4 linked regions of the Kluyveromyces lactis genome follow. The protein of the gene in region 2 interacts with the protein of the main gene of each other region in a pairwise test. Links are inferred from orthologs where the notes say so. Each region holds a gene or a part of one and is shown on either strand. Other genes may lie near its edges. The genes, in order: HDA2, MAD1, ATG17 and MAD2.

The links.
Region 1: the proteins of MAD1 (region 2) and HDA2 interact in a two-hybrid assay, tested with the Saccharomyces cerevisiae proteins (2 studies listed by BioGRID). The link is inferred for Kluyveromyces lactis from reciprocal best matches to the Saccharomyces cerevisiae genes MAD1 and HDA2.
Region 3: the proteins of MAD1 (region 2) and ATG17 interact in a two-hybrid assay, tested with the Saccharomyces cerevisiae proteins (2 studies listed by BioGRID). The link is inferred for Kluyveromyces lactis from reciprocal best matches to the Saccharomyces cerevisiae genes MAD1 and ATG17.
Region 4: the proteins of MAD1 (region 2) and MAD2 interact in binary tests that used the Saccharomyces cerevisiae proteins (3 or more experiments, as listed by UniProt). The link is inferred for Kluyveromyces lactis from reciprocal best matches to the Saccharomyces cerevisiae genes MAD1 and MAD2.

The regions. Positions count from the first base shown.
Region 1 is NC_006039.1:895,966-900,205, forward strand, and holds HDA2 (Hda2p), read left to right. Parts: upstream 1-1,390; coding exon 1,391-3,295; downstream 3,296-4,240. Other genes in the region: GTPase-activating protein NEL1, read left to right, coding at 1-1,045; sphinganine-1-phosphate aldolase DPL1, read left to right, coding at 3,819-4,240. UniProt on the Saccharomyces cerevisiae protein: Required for activity of HDA1 histone deacetylase complex. The HDA1 histone deacetylase complex is responsible for the deacetylation of lysine residues on the N-terminal part of the core histones (H2A, H2B, H3 and H4).
Region 2 is NC_006041.1:1,701,564-1,706,101, forward strand, and holds MAD1 (coiled-coil domain-containing protein MAD1), read left to right. Parts: upstream 1-1,902; coding exon 1,903-3,849; downstream 3,850-4,538. Other genes in the region: POS5 (NADH kinase), read right to left, coding at 1-411; E2 ubiquitin-conjugating protein MMS2, read right to left, coding at 1,154-1,562, 1,663-1,673; LCL3 (Lcl3p), read left to right, coding at 4,066-4,538. UniProt on the Saccharomyces cerevisiae protein: Central component of the spindle assembly checkpoint. Thought to recruit MAD2 to unattached kinetochores. During checkpoint activity, MAD2 is relayed from the MAD1-MAD2 complex to the mitotic checkpoint complex (MCC).
Region 3 is NC_006040.1:231,417-235,308, forward strand, and holds ATG17 (protein kinase regulatory subunit ATG17), read left to right. Parts: upstream 1-1,964; coding exon 1,965-3,236; downstream 3,237-3,892. Other genes in the region: mRNA splicing protein SPP382, read right to left, coding at 1-1,750; threonine--tRNA ligase MST1, read right to left, coding at 3,345-3,892. UniProt on the Saccharomyces cerevisiae protein: Autophagy-specific protein that functions with ATG13, ATG29, and CIS1/ATG31 in response to autophagy-inducing signals as a scaffold to recruit other ATG proteins to organize pre-autophagosomal structure (PAS) formation.
Region 4 is NC_006040.1:797,637-800,531, forward strand, and holds MAD2 (spindle checkpoint protein MAD2), read right to left. Parts: upstream 1,409-2,895; coding exon 818-1,408; downstream 1-817. Other genes in the region: KLLA0_D09416g (uncharacterized protein), read left to right, coding at 107-700; Rab geranylgeranyltransferase BET4, read left to right, coding at 1,597-1,599, 1,689-2,669; CTK2 (Ctk2p), read right to left, coding at 2,702-2,895. UniProt on the Saccharomyces cerevisiae protein: Central component of the spindle assembly checkpoint which is a feedback control that prevents cells with incompletely assembled spindles from leaving mitosis. Thought to be recruited to unattached kinetochores by MAD1.

The sequences.
Region 1 (4,240 bases), on a different chromosome or scaffold from region 2:
ATACGAATCCTTCAATGATAGAAATTTCATATATGATTGGCAGGCGTATATTCAAGGGAAAGGATGTTATGAAATAACCAGAATTGTTATCAAAACTTCTAACAAGCTATTACTGAATGGGATCTTTGGTCCAGTCTCATCCTTGAAAGACAAGGACACACATGTATCTGACACTCCAAAGGGCTTTGGAGGGTCTGGAACCTTCCGTTACAAAGGGCCAAGTAGTAATCTACCATCAATTTTGATAAGTTTATCTGTTGATACATCTCGCAGCGCTGCTGAAGCCTTGCAAGAAATGCCAGATAAATTTTCCTTTCAAATGGAATGCTACTATAAACACTTGAATCAAGAATACGTTTCTGTAGAAACGAAATTTATTCCCAGTACAACCTTACCAGGTGAACATCTTTTAACCCAAAATTTCCACTGGGATATAATGGCTGGATCCATAATGAAAAAAATATCTTTCGCTGTCTTGTTTCAAGGCAAGTTTTATGATTACGATCTAAGGTGGTGGACGTTAGAAATAGTAAAACTTCTTAAATCATTGAATGCCATCGATGTTCCTGGCATTAAATCCTTACAAGAAGTAACGTACTTTATGCAAAGATCAACTCTCTTAAGGAAGAGAAATACATCGCCTGACGAGTGGATCGTCTACCATTGGACAATTCTGAATTCCCCTTTAAGTCATATATTCAAGATGGTTAGACCCCAAGTGTATTCGACCACAGGGCTTATTCAAAATACAACTGACATCCTTAATTATGCCGAACCTTTATTGGTAGATGGTGGTAACGTCCTTGTGGTACGAGATACTTCAGTAGGAGATAGCAGAGTTGACAGTTTGAAGGCAGCTGCTGATACCATATACCACGATGGAAGTCGATTTCCAAAGCCTTGGTATCGAGAAACCAAGCCAGGTGCTAGTCAGGATAGATTTGTAATTGCACGACTAGGCTTAACTGCAGAACATTCTTTGCATTCTGATGACCTCACGCTTGATAAATACATGGCACTGTTTAAATCAAAAAGTACTGCATGAAAAGTATGTAATCATTCATTTTACCTCTCAACAGATATCATGAACTCTATATATATATAACCAAAACCAAAAGGTTAGAATAGTTCCCCATTTACTGTCGCAACCTTCGAATCTATCGCTCCCCCTTTGAATAACAATTGTATGGCAGGAAAAGATACTATGTACGTATTCCTTGGTTTCTCCATCTGTCGCTTTTCAAAAATGACATATTTCATTTTTTAAAAGATACTATATAATTAAATCTAACCATTCTTTCCGAATAGCACATTAAAAGCCAGAGTCCAGAGGAAAAGAAAGAGAAACTGCAAGCGCGAGCCATTGGGTCGTTTCATTAGGGAAAGAAAGATGAACTCCACTTCCAACCGGACTCAGGTATTTTATATACCTGTTGGCCTAACTCAAGTTCAGAAAGATTTGTTGGAAATTTTAATCTCGATACATGCAGAGTCGTTTGTCTCATGTGTAGATAAACGTCTACTGCCAGAACTACAATCTAAATTAGAAAAAAAAGGGACAAATCTCAAAAGAGACTTGAGTATGACTGCATTAACAGATGTTCAGTTAACTGAATGGTTCTTCGAAAATATAAGAGCTGTCTCGAATCACCCTTGCCTGTTAGTTGAGCATTATATGCCTAGACAGTTTTTGTTAATGGAACCAACTGAAAGGTTGATATACACCAGCGATAAATTTGGCAAGTTAAATCTAATGGTTGATCTTTTATTGAATCGTAAGGACAAATCGAGGCCATTGCAAGTTGCTATCATTTCACATTCTGTGAAAGAATTGGATTTGATTGAAGGCGTCATGTTGGGAAAAGTTGCAAAGTTGAAGAGGTTATCTGGAACTTCTTTGTTTGACGAAAAACATGAATATGACGATCAAACTTCTGGTTCAAGAACAACCAATGGTGAAAATTCATCAAGTTCTGGTAGCGTAGCTCCTGAGCAAATCGGAAAATCGAAAGATGAATACAACTACTCTAAGTCAAGACGTAAGAATAACATATCTCAACTTGACTGGTTGTTTTTGGCAACAACCACACATTTGACACACTCTGAAGATTTACTTTCTAGGTACAATCTGGATCTTATCATCAGTTTTGATCCAATGCTGGACGAATCGTTACCATCGATATTCAAAGTCAGGAAAAATGGCAGAAAAACTCCTCTGTTTAAGCTATTGGTCCAAGATTCTCCGGATCACTATTTGTTATCCAAAAAGAAGCCAACTACTACTTCCGAAAAGCTAATTTTGGATTCCATTGTTCATTTTCTAAAGTATCGTGCCGATATCAAAGATCTTATTTCTTTACAACAATATGAAAATATTATTGACTCATTGATCAAAGAGACGGACCCTGGTGAATTTCTCCCAAGTGTAAATCCAGGAAGTTCGAGAAATAATGATGATTTGATTCCTTTTCTAACTAACCCAATGGAATTGATGCCTCTAACTTACGGAAAATATGAATTAAGGCTACAATCAGGACCAATGGACATTAAAAATTATCAGTATATTTTAAAAACACTCACGGCAGAACGACTCAAACAATGCCATGTAGAATATGAAGAGCGTGAAAAACTAGTCCTCAAGACCAGATTGAAAGAAACTAAAAGGTTAAATGACTTTGATGATTTGAAGGTGAATATCGGACAACATTTCAAAAAACTCAAAGAAAATGAAACCAAAATCAACGACTCTGAAAAACGCGTTGAAAGAACAAGATCTGAGTTGGAAGTTTTAGAAGAACGTCTAAAGAGCTTGGTTGAACGCAAATCCGAGCTTGTAAGGCTCTTAACTCTCGAAGATATTGCAAAAGAAATTGAAAATCAGAAGCAACAACATACCAAGCTATCAGATGAAGTTTCTTCCTTCAAGAAGAGTAACGATGAAGAGTCCTTTAAGAATGACGATTTGAGATCTAGCTACCAACAAAAATCGTCTGAGGCTGCTTCAGAAGTGCTAAAGACTTCAGCTCTGAAAGCTGAGAAAGAGGAGTTGGAACGCCAATTGAATGGACCTTTCACCAAGTGGGAACTTATTATATTGCAAGAAAAAGAAGCACAACTCAAATCTTCCTTACGCAAAATGGTACAGCAGTCTCAATTCCTAATACAATACATGAACCGAATACAAGGCCAATACAACATTGAAAACGAACCTGCAAAAAAATCATCTCCGGCAACGAACAACTCGTCAAGGTACACTACAAGAACTACCAGGGCTACTTCTCCTACGTACACATAAGTATTACTCCTTCTAGGATACATCCAGACCAAACCATCTCTCAACTACTGCATGCAATATACTGATATCTGAAAGCCTGTCAGATTCTGGTAAACACAAGCTTGCTTGCAAAATTGTAACACTAGCGCAATTACTCCTCTATATAGACCAGTTTGTATTATGTGAGTCAATAGTGACTTGTTCATTCTAATTTCGACATGACCACCCTAACTGCGGCAGTAACGGATCGGCATAACCATATTCAGTTGAAACTGGAACATAGAATTTGAGCTTTTTTTTTCGTACTTTTCGGATTTTAAAGACCTTTACTGATTCGTCTGGTATTTTGCATATAGGGTAGAAAATAAGAACTTTTAGTAGATTTTATGTCTTGCTCTCAAATTGAAAGCAGAAACTAAGGGTATACAGTTCTTTTTTTTTTCTTACCATTGCGTTGTATTGAGCTGACTCCCACAAAATAATAACACTTTAATCTTGGCTACTGTTAAACTCTGAACTTGATTTTGATACAAGTTTTCTGATAATGGGAAAGATGAGTTTCATTGAAGGATTGCAGAAGCGCTTTTTTTTAGGATATTCATACAAATACAACACGTTCGAACTTGATCCTATTATACTGGCAACTTCTATCAAGGTGGCAGTTTTAGATTATTTTCGGAATACGCCTTGGTATTGGATCATCAGAGACGCCGTCTTTTACCATCTGCTTTTTAACGTTTTGTCCCGGATTATTTTGTACATAAGGGGGTATGGGCTTCTGACATCAATTTCTAAATTATTCCATTATGCCAGTAGACGTTTATTTGAGGTTCTATTGAGCTTACCAATGGTAAGAGGTTCTGTCGATAAAGAGGTTTCTAAAGTCTTAGCCACAATAGAGAAAGATATGATAAAAAACGATGCGAATTTAAAGGATTTCCCTGAACTACCAAGAACAGGATTAAG
Region 2 (4,538 bases):
CGGTTGATTTGGATTCGATTTAGGCATCGATCTGAAATCTTGTGATATTTCTTCTGCCACATCTGGTTGCACTATAACGTTGACTTCTGGGTAAGAATCGTGCAAGTGTGTGATGAACTCAACCATGGCCTCCCTAGTGGTATCAGTCCAAGGTTTCTTCATTAAAAACACGTTTTGCATAGGACGGTGCCATATCAACGATTGTAGTTTCGAATTTGGGGAAGATATGAAATCTGGCAAGCTGGTTGCCCGTAGATCGTTTACATCTTTCAAAGCAACAAACTTCGAAGAATCTCGAAGTCTTACCTCAGAATAAAACCTAGCGCACTGAAACAAACCTGAAACATGCTGCTGACGGGCCAGTGACCAAATGCTAGGAACATTTAACCTTCCTCTGAGAAGTATCACCATATCTCTTGCTAATCGTTAAACAAAAAAAAAACAAATGAAATCACTTCTAATCACCTAATCTTCTGTCTCCTACTCTGCAATTGCCGAATACAGTCTGTATCCAATGAACTGTAGTCTGTAGAAACACTACTACGGACCACTACTAAAACCTTTGTAAACTCTTTTCGTTAGGAAACAATTTGAAATAATGAATTCTTATGATTCATTTATATGAAAGTTCACTGCAAAGTCTTCCAAATTGAAAGTTTCTCTGGATGAAAGAAACAGTCGAAAGAAGAGTGTTAGGAGCAGGACCAAAATGTAGACCCCTTTTGTGCGTGTGACTCTGCGAAGAAGAGTAAGAATCGGAACGGTTGACCTAGGCCTTTTTCTATTTACAGGCACTTGGGCGAAAAAACCGGCTTTACTATCGATCTGGTGGTGGTTGTAAATCTGGTGGTTTGATGAGAAATTCAAACCAGCAAATCTCTTCGAACCTTGTTTGAACTAATTTACTTAGAGAACAGTGCAATTGAGTGGATCATGATCTAAAACAGGACCTGACTTCTCTTAAGCAAGATGATACTTTTGAGTGGAGGGCACATCGGCAGGCGTTGCTTCATTATACATTGGACAATATGCTTATTATGCGTACGAAAACTTTTGGGAGCCCAAAAGGGCCCCCAAACCAGTTGCGCCAAATACACAACTTTATACTTATTTACTCTCATGTGTATATATACATTTAGTACCTGCTGTAATTTCACTCAAACGTCGTTCCCTCTTGTGGTTGTAACAATTTTTTGTTCGATGGTGTTGCCATTTCCTTACGTAGCTCCAATAAGACAGTTTCCATGGTATAGGATCTTTTCCATTCCTTCAAAGTATGGAATTTCTCTTTGACGACCTCTCCGGTGGTAGAATTGACACATGGCAGGTTGATCTTCGATACGAATTTCACCTTAGGTGGTTCGTCTGGATATGAGGGCCCGCATTCGATGAGCACTGAATATATTCTGTTTTCATGGTTGCTATGAGGAGGACCAAGTATGGTACCGTTCCACTTTGTCATTGTGATATCATCGGAGTCAGAAAGACCATAGGAACAAGATTCTGGACCCAGTCCTTTTTCTCCCTTCTCTAGCTCTTCTAGTAGTCTGAAACTTCTTGGTCTAGTGAAATATGTATGCCATAGTGCGGTTAGTAAAATTCTGAAAGGGTTGTTATAGGCATGGGTATCGCATGAAAGTAAAAGAATTCGAATGAACGTACACTTTAGACATAGTAAGAACAGTCTGGTTAGTTAGCGGTGTGAGCTTTTGATCCCCGTCCCCTTTCTTGATCATCTTTAAAGGGGATGATTTAAACGTTTCTTCATTTCATTCTGATTTTATAATTTTATAGCGAAAATCTTGACTTTGATCTTGATCCATTAAGTGATCTTAGGGGAACTTAAAGAATGCTTCATGCCAATAGTGTCTTGCAATTGTGTCAAACTCAATTGTGTATTATATGTCACTAACACCTCAGATAAAGGAAAAGCCCCTTGAATCGCTAGATGCAGATCAGTTGAGACGTCGCGTTTTAACGCTTCAGTACAAATACACAACCTTACAGAACGAGTATGAAATTTCGAAGTTGTCATCAGAACGCGAGACTTATTCGCTTCAGAACAAATACGATAAGAGTATGAACGAACTGGAAAATGCTTTGAAAGATACCAAGATACTATATGAGGAAAACATCAAGTTGAAGGAAGAATTGAAAAGTAAGGATGCGTTACCGAAGGAGGATGAGAAGATCATAACGACACTTCGAACACAGGTTGTAAGTTTGAAAAACGAAGTTAATTTGAAAGAGCAGCGTATCGTGGAATTAGCTCATAAGCTTTCCTCAAAACAAAATGAAGTTACGAATGCAATTGAATCGATGAAGTTGGAAATTGAAGGTAGCGGAAACATTCTGCATCAACATGAAACTCAGATAAACAAACATGTGGAAGAGATACGATATTTACAACAAGAACTGAAGGAAAAAGAAAATCTGATATCTGAACTACGATCAGTTCAAACTTCTGCGTCTCATAGGAACAATTCTACGGAAGAATTACAAGATTTGGCTGTCTTGAACAAGACTCTGAAGGAGCAGCTCAATTATGCCAAAGAACTAGAGGATATGAACCTTAAACAAGCCACTGAATTGAAGAAGCTTCGACAAAATAACGATGTCCAATCGTTGTTGAAAAAGGAAAATGAATTACTCCAGTCTAAACTCGATCAATTGAATTCTTTACAAAAAAAGTTCGAATCATTGGAAATGGAGAATATCAGCCTACAGGAGAAGATTACACAATGGGGTATTGTTAGGTTAGACGGTAAATTCAAGAACCCTAACGATGTTATAACAGAGCTTAATATGTTACAACGAGAAAATACTTTCCTTTTAGATACGAATTCCAAGTTACAAATTGATTTCAATCAAATGTCCATGCTCAACGATGAGATGGCAATTGAAAGAAACCAACTTCTAGATTTGAACAAAGACTATGAAACTAGTATTTTGAATTTGAAGCGTTTAAATCATGAACTTGAACAACAAAAACTTTTGTCATTTGAAGAGTGTAAACTACTAAGGCAACAATTAGAGGAATTTGAGGAGCAAGACGATAAGAAGAAAACACCCGGAGACCAGGTAAATGCTTCAAACATCATCGAAGGGTACAAAAATCAAACTGAGGATCTAACCAATGAGCTCAAGAGATTGAACGAAGAATTATCAAAAACTGACGATAAGATTCAAAAACGTAGAAAAATAACCAATGATTTGGGAATAAGCTATTCTCAAAGATTAAATGAGCTAATACTGGAGAACAAAAAACTGGAGAGATTACTTTCTGCGACTAAAAATCATGCGAATATCCTAGAACAAAAAATTTTGGACTTGACTAGTCTTAAAGAGAAGAAGGTTAGAATTTTACAACTTCGTGATAATCCATTGTTAAAAGAGCATTATATCAGAAAGGAAAAGTTGGCATTACTTGAAAAGGAAAACTCCGATCTATTATCTGGGATAGAAACAGATGCCATCCCAAGATCTGTTTATGATCGTATCAAACACGACATGAAACTACTTGAGAAAGAGATTTTCTCTGCAAATAAGAAGACCACAAGACTAAAAGAAGTATTCAATAAGAAATCGTTAGAGTTCATTGAGGCCGTTAATTCACTGTTAGGATTTAAACTAGAATTCTTGGCACATGGTAAAGTAAAATTAGTAAGCTGTTATCAACCGAACAAATATATTATTGCCGATTTACAATCGAATACGTTAAAATCGGATCTAGATAAAGTTATTCCTGAATGGGAAACGTTATTTCAATTGTACGTTATAGAAAAGGGAGAGTTGCCAGCGTTTCTCTCCCAAGTAAAGCTTAGACTGTGGGAACTATCTCAGCCTTAGCTGCGCGTCACAAGAAGGCAGGACTCAGTGTAAATCAACATATTTTAATTCATTGTATATACTAGTATGTGCAAATATCTCTCTATTTACATATGGATCAACTTGACGAAAAAAGATTCAGACATATATACAAACTTGGATTGTCGGGGATATTATATGACATCACTTCCTATCACAATACCGAACCGCAGCAGTTCATCAACCGATGATTGAGGTATGACTGAACAGCGTACTGTTACAAATAATGCTACCCATTATTTCTATCCTACAGTCCTACTATTTTCTATATTATTGACTGGTGGTGTTTTAACTGCTACTTCTTTTTACAATAAGCACCTTAGACAGTATAAATCTGCCAAAGATATACCGGAAGCGATATTCAAGAAGCAATGGCTATATGGTAAAGTAACATCTGTGGGAGATGGTGATAATTTCCATTTCTTTCATACTCCAAGCGGTATTTTTGGCGGCTGGGGATGGTTAAGGTCCATTCCTGAGTTACAAACAGTAGCGTTCGACGCTTCTGTTGAAGTACCACAATCAGTTCGTTGGTGGAACAAACTATTCAGTGCCAAAGTAGCTAACTATAAGAGTCATTTCATGAGTTTACATGTGCCATATAAGGGCAGAAGAAATCTTCCTACCATTTCTGTTCGTTTATGTGGTGTGGATGCTCCAGAAAGATCGCA
Region 3 (3,892 bases), on a different chromosome or scaffold from region 2:
AAATTTTGGTCATGGGTGTATTGTTAAAAGCGTTGAACCTGGATTCCGACTGGCCAGTGCTTTCAATTAAACTTTTCAAGGAAAGCCGTTCGTCATGGTCCGAAAGTGTTGACGGATGATCGACAAAGTCAAGAAGTTTCTTCACTTCTTCTACATTATCTAATGAAGATGCAGTGTAAATTCTATTAATCATGTATTTTAGCCATGAAGAAGCTTCATAACGGAAGGTGCTGCTCTTAAACACAAACCATTGGAATAAGGTCTTTAATAGCGAGTTGTTAATGACCTTATATACTTTATTCCTGGTTGGCAAATCGAAGAAATCATTATATTCTTTCAACACATCAATAATAGCTGAAATGTAAATTTCATTCTCTGCATCGGTAAATTCGTCAATCAGGTGAAAGTGTGAATCGAAGTAATCAGCGAAAGATGAAAGCCAATACCTGTTGACTAATTCATAAAACTTGGAGTCACCCACTGCCTCCTTCAAGAGAATAACGTTTTGAGGGTTAACAGTCATTGAAGGTTCCCAATTTTTCAAAAACTGCTCGAACTCCAGCAGGATAAGTGCTTTTAATGACTTTAAATCCCTTTCTCCCAAAATGAGATGCAACTCGCCGTATGTCACCATGAATTCATCTGACAGAAATTGAGGAGAAAGTTGTATTTCGAGAGCCGGCATAATGTAGCGGGAAAGGAAGTGTTCCCTGCAGCTAATAAAGTCAATAATAGGTAAATACTGAACGGTTATTTGACGTAGCATCCTCGAATATCCGGTATTTGAATCTAACCAATAACATAAGGGTTGATACACCAACCTATAAATGCTGCTTTGTGTTTCGTTCAAAATATATCCAGATTCCATTCTATATGAAAGAAACCTTATTGCTGCCCTCAAATGGTTCAACTTTTCGACCTGCATATCTGCCGTATTAATTCCACGATTAAGCTCTTTGAGCAAGAACATGGTACAGAGCTTATCAAGTATGTCATCGTCATTTATTTCTAGGCATTCAGTAATCTGATCTTCAAGACTTGGTTGCGAAAGTTGTTTTTCCTTGACTTTTTCTAAAACACTTTGTAGCCTTTCCTCTTGGTGTACTTTGCGCTCGTCATCTAGTTGAGCTTTTTCCAAGCCAACTTGTATTCTATCTATGTCCGAATGAAGCTGCAGAAGCTTATTAGCAATTTCATTCAAAGAGGAAATCTCTTCTTCATGTAATTCAGAACCATTGATTGTTCTTGTCACCGTATCAGGTAGTTCTATTTTTAATTCCGCAAGGAGACTTATATTTTGAATCAATTTCTCAAGCTGGGTGGCACGACGAGTCTTAAACTCCACTGTTTTCTTTTTATTTGAACTTTCATCTGATGATGCTGAAGTATTACTATAGTTGGAGTCATCTCTATCATGTACTGCACTTAACATCCCTAATCCGACACCTTTAGGACGAGTGACTGTTTCGATTGGGTTCACTATACCTTTCCCATCTCGTCCTAAACCTTCACCTTGTTTGTAACCCATTTTTGATAAAAGCTTGGCACCCATACCATAGGTCTTTAACATCTGGTCGCTTTTCAATCCATCATTGGAGTTGGCTTGTCGTACCGGTTCATAGTCTTCTTCTTCTTTTTGTTCTTCATTGTCATCGCTATATCCATATGGATCGGTAAATACCATACTATTCATTGTCATACTGATCTTTCTTCTTTTGAACTGATCATCGTCACTGATATGTTCTGACATCTATACTGAATCACTGGAGTAGTAATAGCTGACTTGGAGTGACTGATACTCCTTTCAATCTTTACTCCGATTAATAGGTATTTATTCATACTTTGAAAAGATTTAAAGGTTTGAAGTTCAGTCTTCGAAGTGAAATTGACCGTTTAAGGGTTTCAAATTGGAAACGTTGAAGAGATGAAGATCTTTCGGTTGATCTGAACTGCGTCTACAAGAAATGAGTGATGCTGCAACTACTATACCCAGTGATGAGATAGATAAATTGTGGAATAAGGCGAGAAACCAGCTTGTGGAAGCTCAAGTCGAATGTGAAGAATCATTAAAAATCCTCTCTAAAGTGCGAACTGAAATGGACAGCTCTCAAAAGTCCAGATTTAAACTTAAATTTATACTTAATTGTTTGGTGAACCAGGTTGAGTTCTTCAAGAATATCATGCTCGAGAAATGTATTTCTACAGAGTTGATTGACAATGAATGGTCAAAGCTGGTTTTAGTCGAGATAGTCAATGACGTGAGTTATTGGCAAAACGAGATAACAACAAAGATGAAGATCTTGCAGGGTACAAAATACGACTTGACTGACGATCACAGTAGCCTTTCAGATTTCATATGCATGGATCACGTAGACATACTACAACAAAAAATCGATGAGATTCCTATTATAAAACAACAAGTGACAAACATACGACAACACTACAAATCGATAAAAGATCGAATAGAAAACCAACTAGTGGCTGTAAAGTTGAAAAAACTCAGAACTTACTTTGATTCACATTTCAGCAGGGATAGCAAAAATAATCTATTCAAATTGTTGGAAAGTGATTATGTCACTGAATTGAACGAATTTGAGAATGAACTTGCCGATTTCTTGAGATCAATCACTGATCATTTCGACAAATGCACGATATTGAAGGAACAGCAGATTCCACTACCAGATTTGAAGGAACTTTTCCAGATTGTAAAGAAAGACGATACACAGTTAGAAAATATAAGGGAATTAGTATTCGAAACGGGACTTGAAGTGAAAGCTTTCTCAAAGAAAGTCAATGAAACAATAAGTGAAATAATGGACAAAATTGGTGGATTCCATCTGCTGGCTTCCAAGATTGTGACAGAGTTAGAAAAATGTGAGGAATACTTATCTATCTTCCAAAAGATTGCTAATTTAGTATTCGTTTATAAGGAATCTTGCATAAAAAAGATTGAACAAGTGCAACAACTCTGTGAGTTTTACGATAAGTTCAAATTAGGGTATAAAAACCTTCTACGAGAAAGAGACAGACGGAAAGCCACTGCGTTACAAATGGAGAAAATATTAAAGGAATGTCAGGAGAAACTACAGGCACTGAGTGATGCTGACTTGGACCAACGCCAGCAATTTTTACTTGAAAATGGTGACTATCTTCCCGAAAACATCTGGCCAGGTTATATCGACGATATGGAATCGATGTATAGTTTCGAATATAGCATACATAATGTACCGAATTGACGGTATTGTGTTATTATTGATACATAAGTATACATATTTACAGGTATAAATTATCTTTTACATCGTTATGGTTAACATTACTTTCTGTGGTTCAAAAATTGCAAGGTATCATTTATAATTTTTCTCAAGATCGACGAACCTTTCAAAGACATCATCGATAGTTAGTAAATCCACTTTCTTCGACTCCCTGGTTCTAATCGCCACCTTGCCTGCTTCAACTTCTTTGTCACCAATCATTATAATATAAGAATAATGCTTCTTGATGGCTTCTCTAATTCTTTTACTTACAGATTCATCTCTTGCATCCATATCAACAGAGAAATGGAAGCTGTTGAGTGGAATTGGGCTTTTTGGATCACTATTTTCACCACGTAATGAGTTGACTGTCTTGAAAGCCAATTCCATTATCTTCTCATCTTCAGTCTTCACTGGGATGACCATACATTGGTTTGGATTCAACCAAAACGGCCATTTACCTTTGCTTGAATCAATTAAAATGGCCATGAATCTTTCCACCGAACCGAAAACAGCCCTATGAATCATGATAGGTCTCTTGTAACTATTATCCTTGTCCTTGAATTGTAAATCGAATCTTTCTGGCAATTGAAAATCTAATTGAATAGTGGCGACTTGATGTGATTTGCCTGTATGATCAT
Region 4 (2,895 bases), on a different chromosome or scaffold from region 2:
GTTAACCTGAGCACTTACAATATATCTGATTATATGACAAAATGTGCCGCACAAGTTGGTTCGGCTATCGACTTTATTTTGAAATCAGACCTGGTATCCTCATGCAATGATTCCATTCTTCTACATAATGATTTTTTTCACTATAGCTGAAAGCACGCTTACAGATGCTGAGTTTAAGGAAATTGATATGTTTATAGATGTTGTTGGTGAATCACATTTTGCTCTGATGTTTCCTGTGGAATTGATCAGAACCGATTTGAATGATACGTTTGACCCAAAACAAGTTTACGATATTTTTGATGAATTAGCTGAAGAGCGCAAAGAGTTTCAAATAGTAAAAGAACTTGATATACCTGAGTTTGTGGCCGAACCGCTTTATGATAGGCTGACATATCTCTCAGTCAAATTGGATAATGGATACACCGTAAATCTAGCAAATGAAATAGCAATAATTCAGGATATAATCCAAATAGCAGCAGAGTCAGACAACATTAAACTCGATTTTACTGCTCTTCTTAGAGTTAAAGAAGAGTTGAGGGTTGATATGGCAGCCGTGTCAAAATTAAAGTTGTTCAAAACGTGCTTATTGTCCAACCTTTTCCCATTTATGCAGGAAGAATGCGAAGGACTCTTAAGACAAAAGCTAATTGAACATCTCAAGATTTGGATAGAAGTTTGGAAAAGACACCAAGATGATTGAATTAGTATGAGCTTTCTCGAGTTGAATTAAGTATTATGTGCCTTTTCTACTATATCTTGTTCCTATTTGTAGCATAAGTATTAAAAGGAAATGCAATAAGTTCAGCCATTAATTTTGTTAGAACTTATAAGTGACTTCAGCTCCCACTGAATAGGCCGATGTACCGAAAGACTTGAATTGCACAGATTCCCCCTTCGCTATTTCTTTTGAATCAGAATCTGTCCATTCTAGTGGAACATTCGCATTACTATCAGTATAGGCCAAAACATTGAAAGTATAGTTACCTTCATTTTTCAATTCGGGCAAGAAAGTGACACTGGCTGTTATCTGTCTAAGTACTGCCCGAATCTCCTTTTGGGTTTCCTCTAATGGAATGTTCATATCATCATCAGTATCGTTCTTGTTGCTGTGAGAATCTACGTTAAACTTCCATCTTTCAATTGTTTCACCATCATCCTTATCTACTATACACAGAACAAGCTGGTGACATTTACCTCCCAATAACCACCTATGAACCTGCCGGAGAATTTCCCGTATGTATTGTTTAAGTTCTGTATCTTGTGTTTTTAATAAGCTCAAATCATACTTCTTAACTGTAGCGAAGTCTTCTGCCGGGTATACTGCTCGTTGATATAATATTGAATTTATACTATATTCAAAGAACTCAGTAACAATTCGTGTCGAACCTTTTAATGATATCAAATCCATGTTTCCAATTTTACTTTCCAGTCTCTTCTGAATCCTTGTTCGTCGAAGCAAGTTCAAAAAACATATGTTATTGAGCTCATTTTAAACTACTATTTTTTATAATTAACATTCAAACTTATAAGTTATGATTATGATGAACAGCAAATCAGAACGTTAAACTCAATTCCACAGAGACTCGAGGACAAATAATGGTATGGCAGACCTCGGCACTCTTTTCAAAGAAGATTCTCATAATATACAATTGCAGATTACTAACATTTACAAATTGAAATGAATTCAGCATGGTGTTACACGAAGAGAGTGGACAAAGGAGTTATTAAGGAAGAAGCGCGAGAAGGAGAGACAGGAAATCCTCGATTATCGAGAATTATCAGATGAGGTTTTAGAATTGAAGAATAAAAGAGTAGCAAACAAGGACTCTCTTCTGAAGACTACCCAGTTACTTAATATCAATCCAGAATTCAACACCATCTGGAATTATAGACGTGAAATTATAAAACTACTTGCCCCATCACTGGATCAAACTTTCTGGGATGGGGAACTTGCTTTCACTATGGACAAATTGAAGGTTCGTCCAAAAGTATACTGGATATGGAATCACAGGGTTTGGTGTTTAGAGCATTATCCTAATTCTCCCTTGAAAATCTGGTTGAAAGAATTAGCCATTGTTGGCAAATTACTGGAAATGGATGCGAGAAATTTCCATGGATGGCATTACAGAAGATACATCGTAAGCACAGTAGAACGCTTAAGCGGAAACTGTCTAAATTCACAAGAGTTTGAATACACAACCGCGAAAATAAATCAAAATATCTCTAACTTTAGCGCGTGGTTCCAACGAACGAATATAATTGAACATATGCTGGCGAGAGATCAAATAGCTGACAAAGAGTCCTTCATCGACGATGAATTTCAGTACATAAAGAATGCCATGTTCACTGATGCTGAAGATCAATCTGTCTGGACGTATCTGATCTGGTTTATTAAAGAGAGTGCACTAAAAGAGCATATGACGTCAGAAAAGTATAGCAGTATGCTAAAAGAACTAACCGAGATCATTGAACTTATAAACGATGATGATATTAGTTTCTCTGGAAAGGATAATATTTGGTGTCTAAAGACACTACTTGTGATTGAGTTCATTCAAAAAGATATCCTCAAGGAAGATATAAAATCAAAATCTAGAGAATATCTTGATAAGTTGATAATTATCGATCCCTTGAGGAAAAATAGGTATTTATACCAAATAAGAGCTCTATGAAATGATTGTATTATTACATGAATATGAAGATCTCATTCAACCTCACTGATAGATCTTTTTTTGGTAGATATCGATTCTTCTTGAAGAGAGTTCTGGTTCAAAACATATCTTCTTTCTTTCACAGCAAAGTTCCGTTCCTTTGACACGTAATCGTCTTTATCTAATGCTATTGGATCAACCTTTAGTCCCTGCTCAGGGCCAGCGGTCTTTTTTATTTCAATGAATG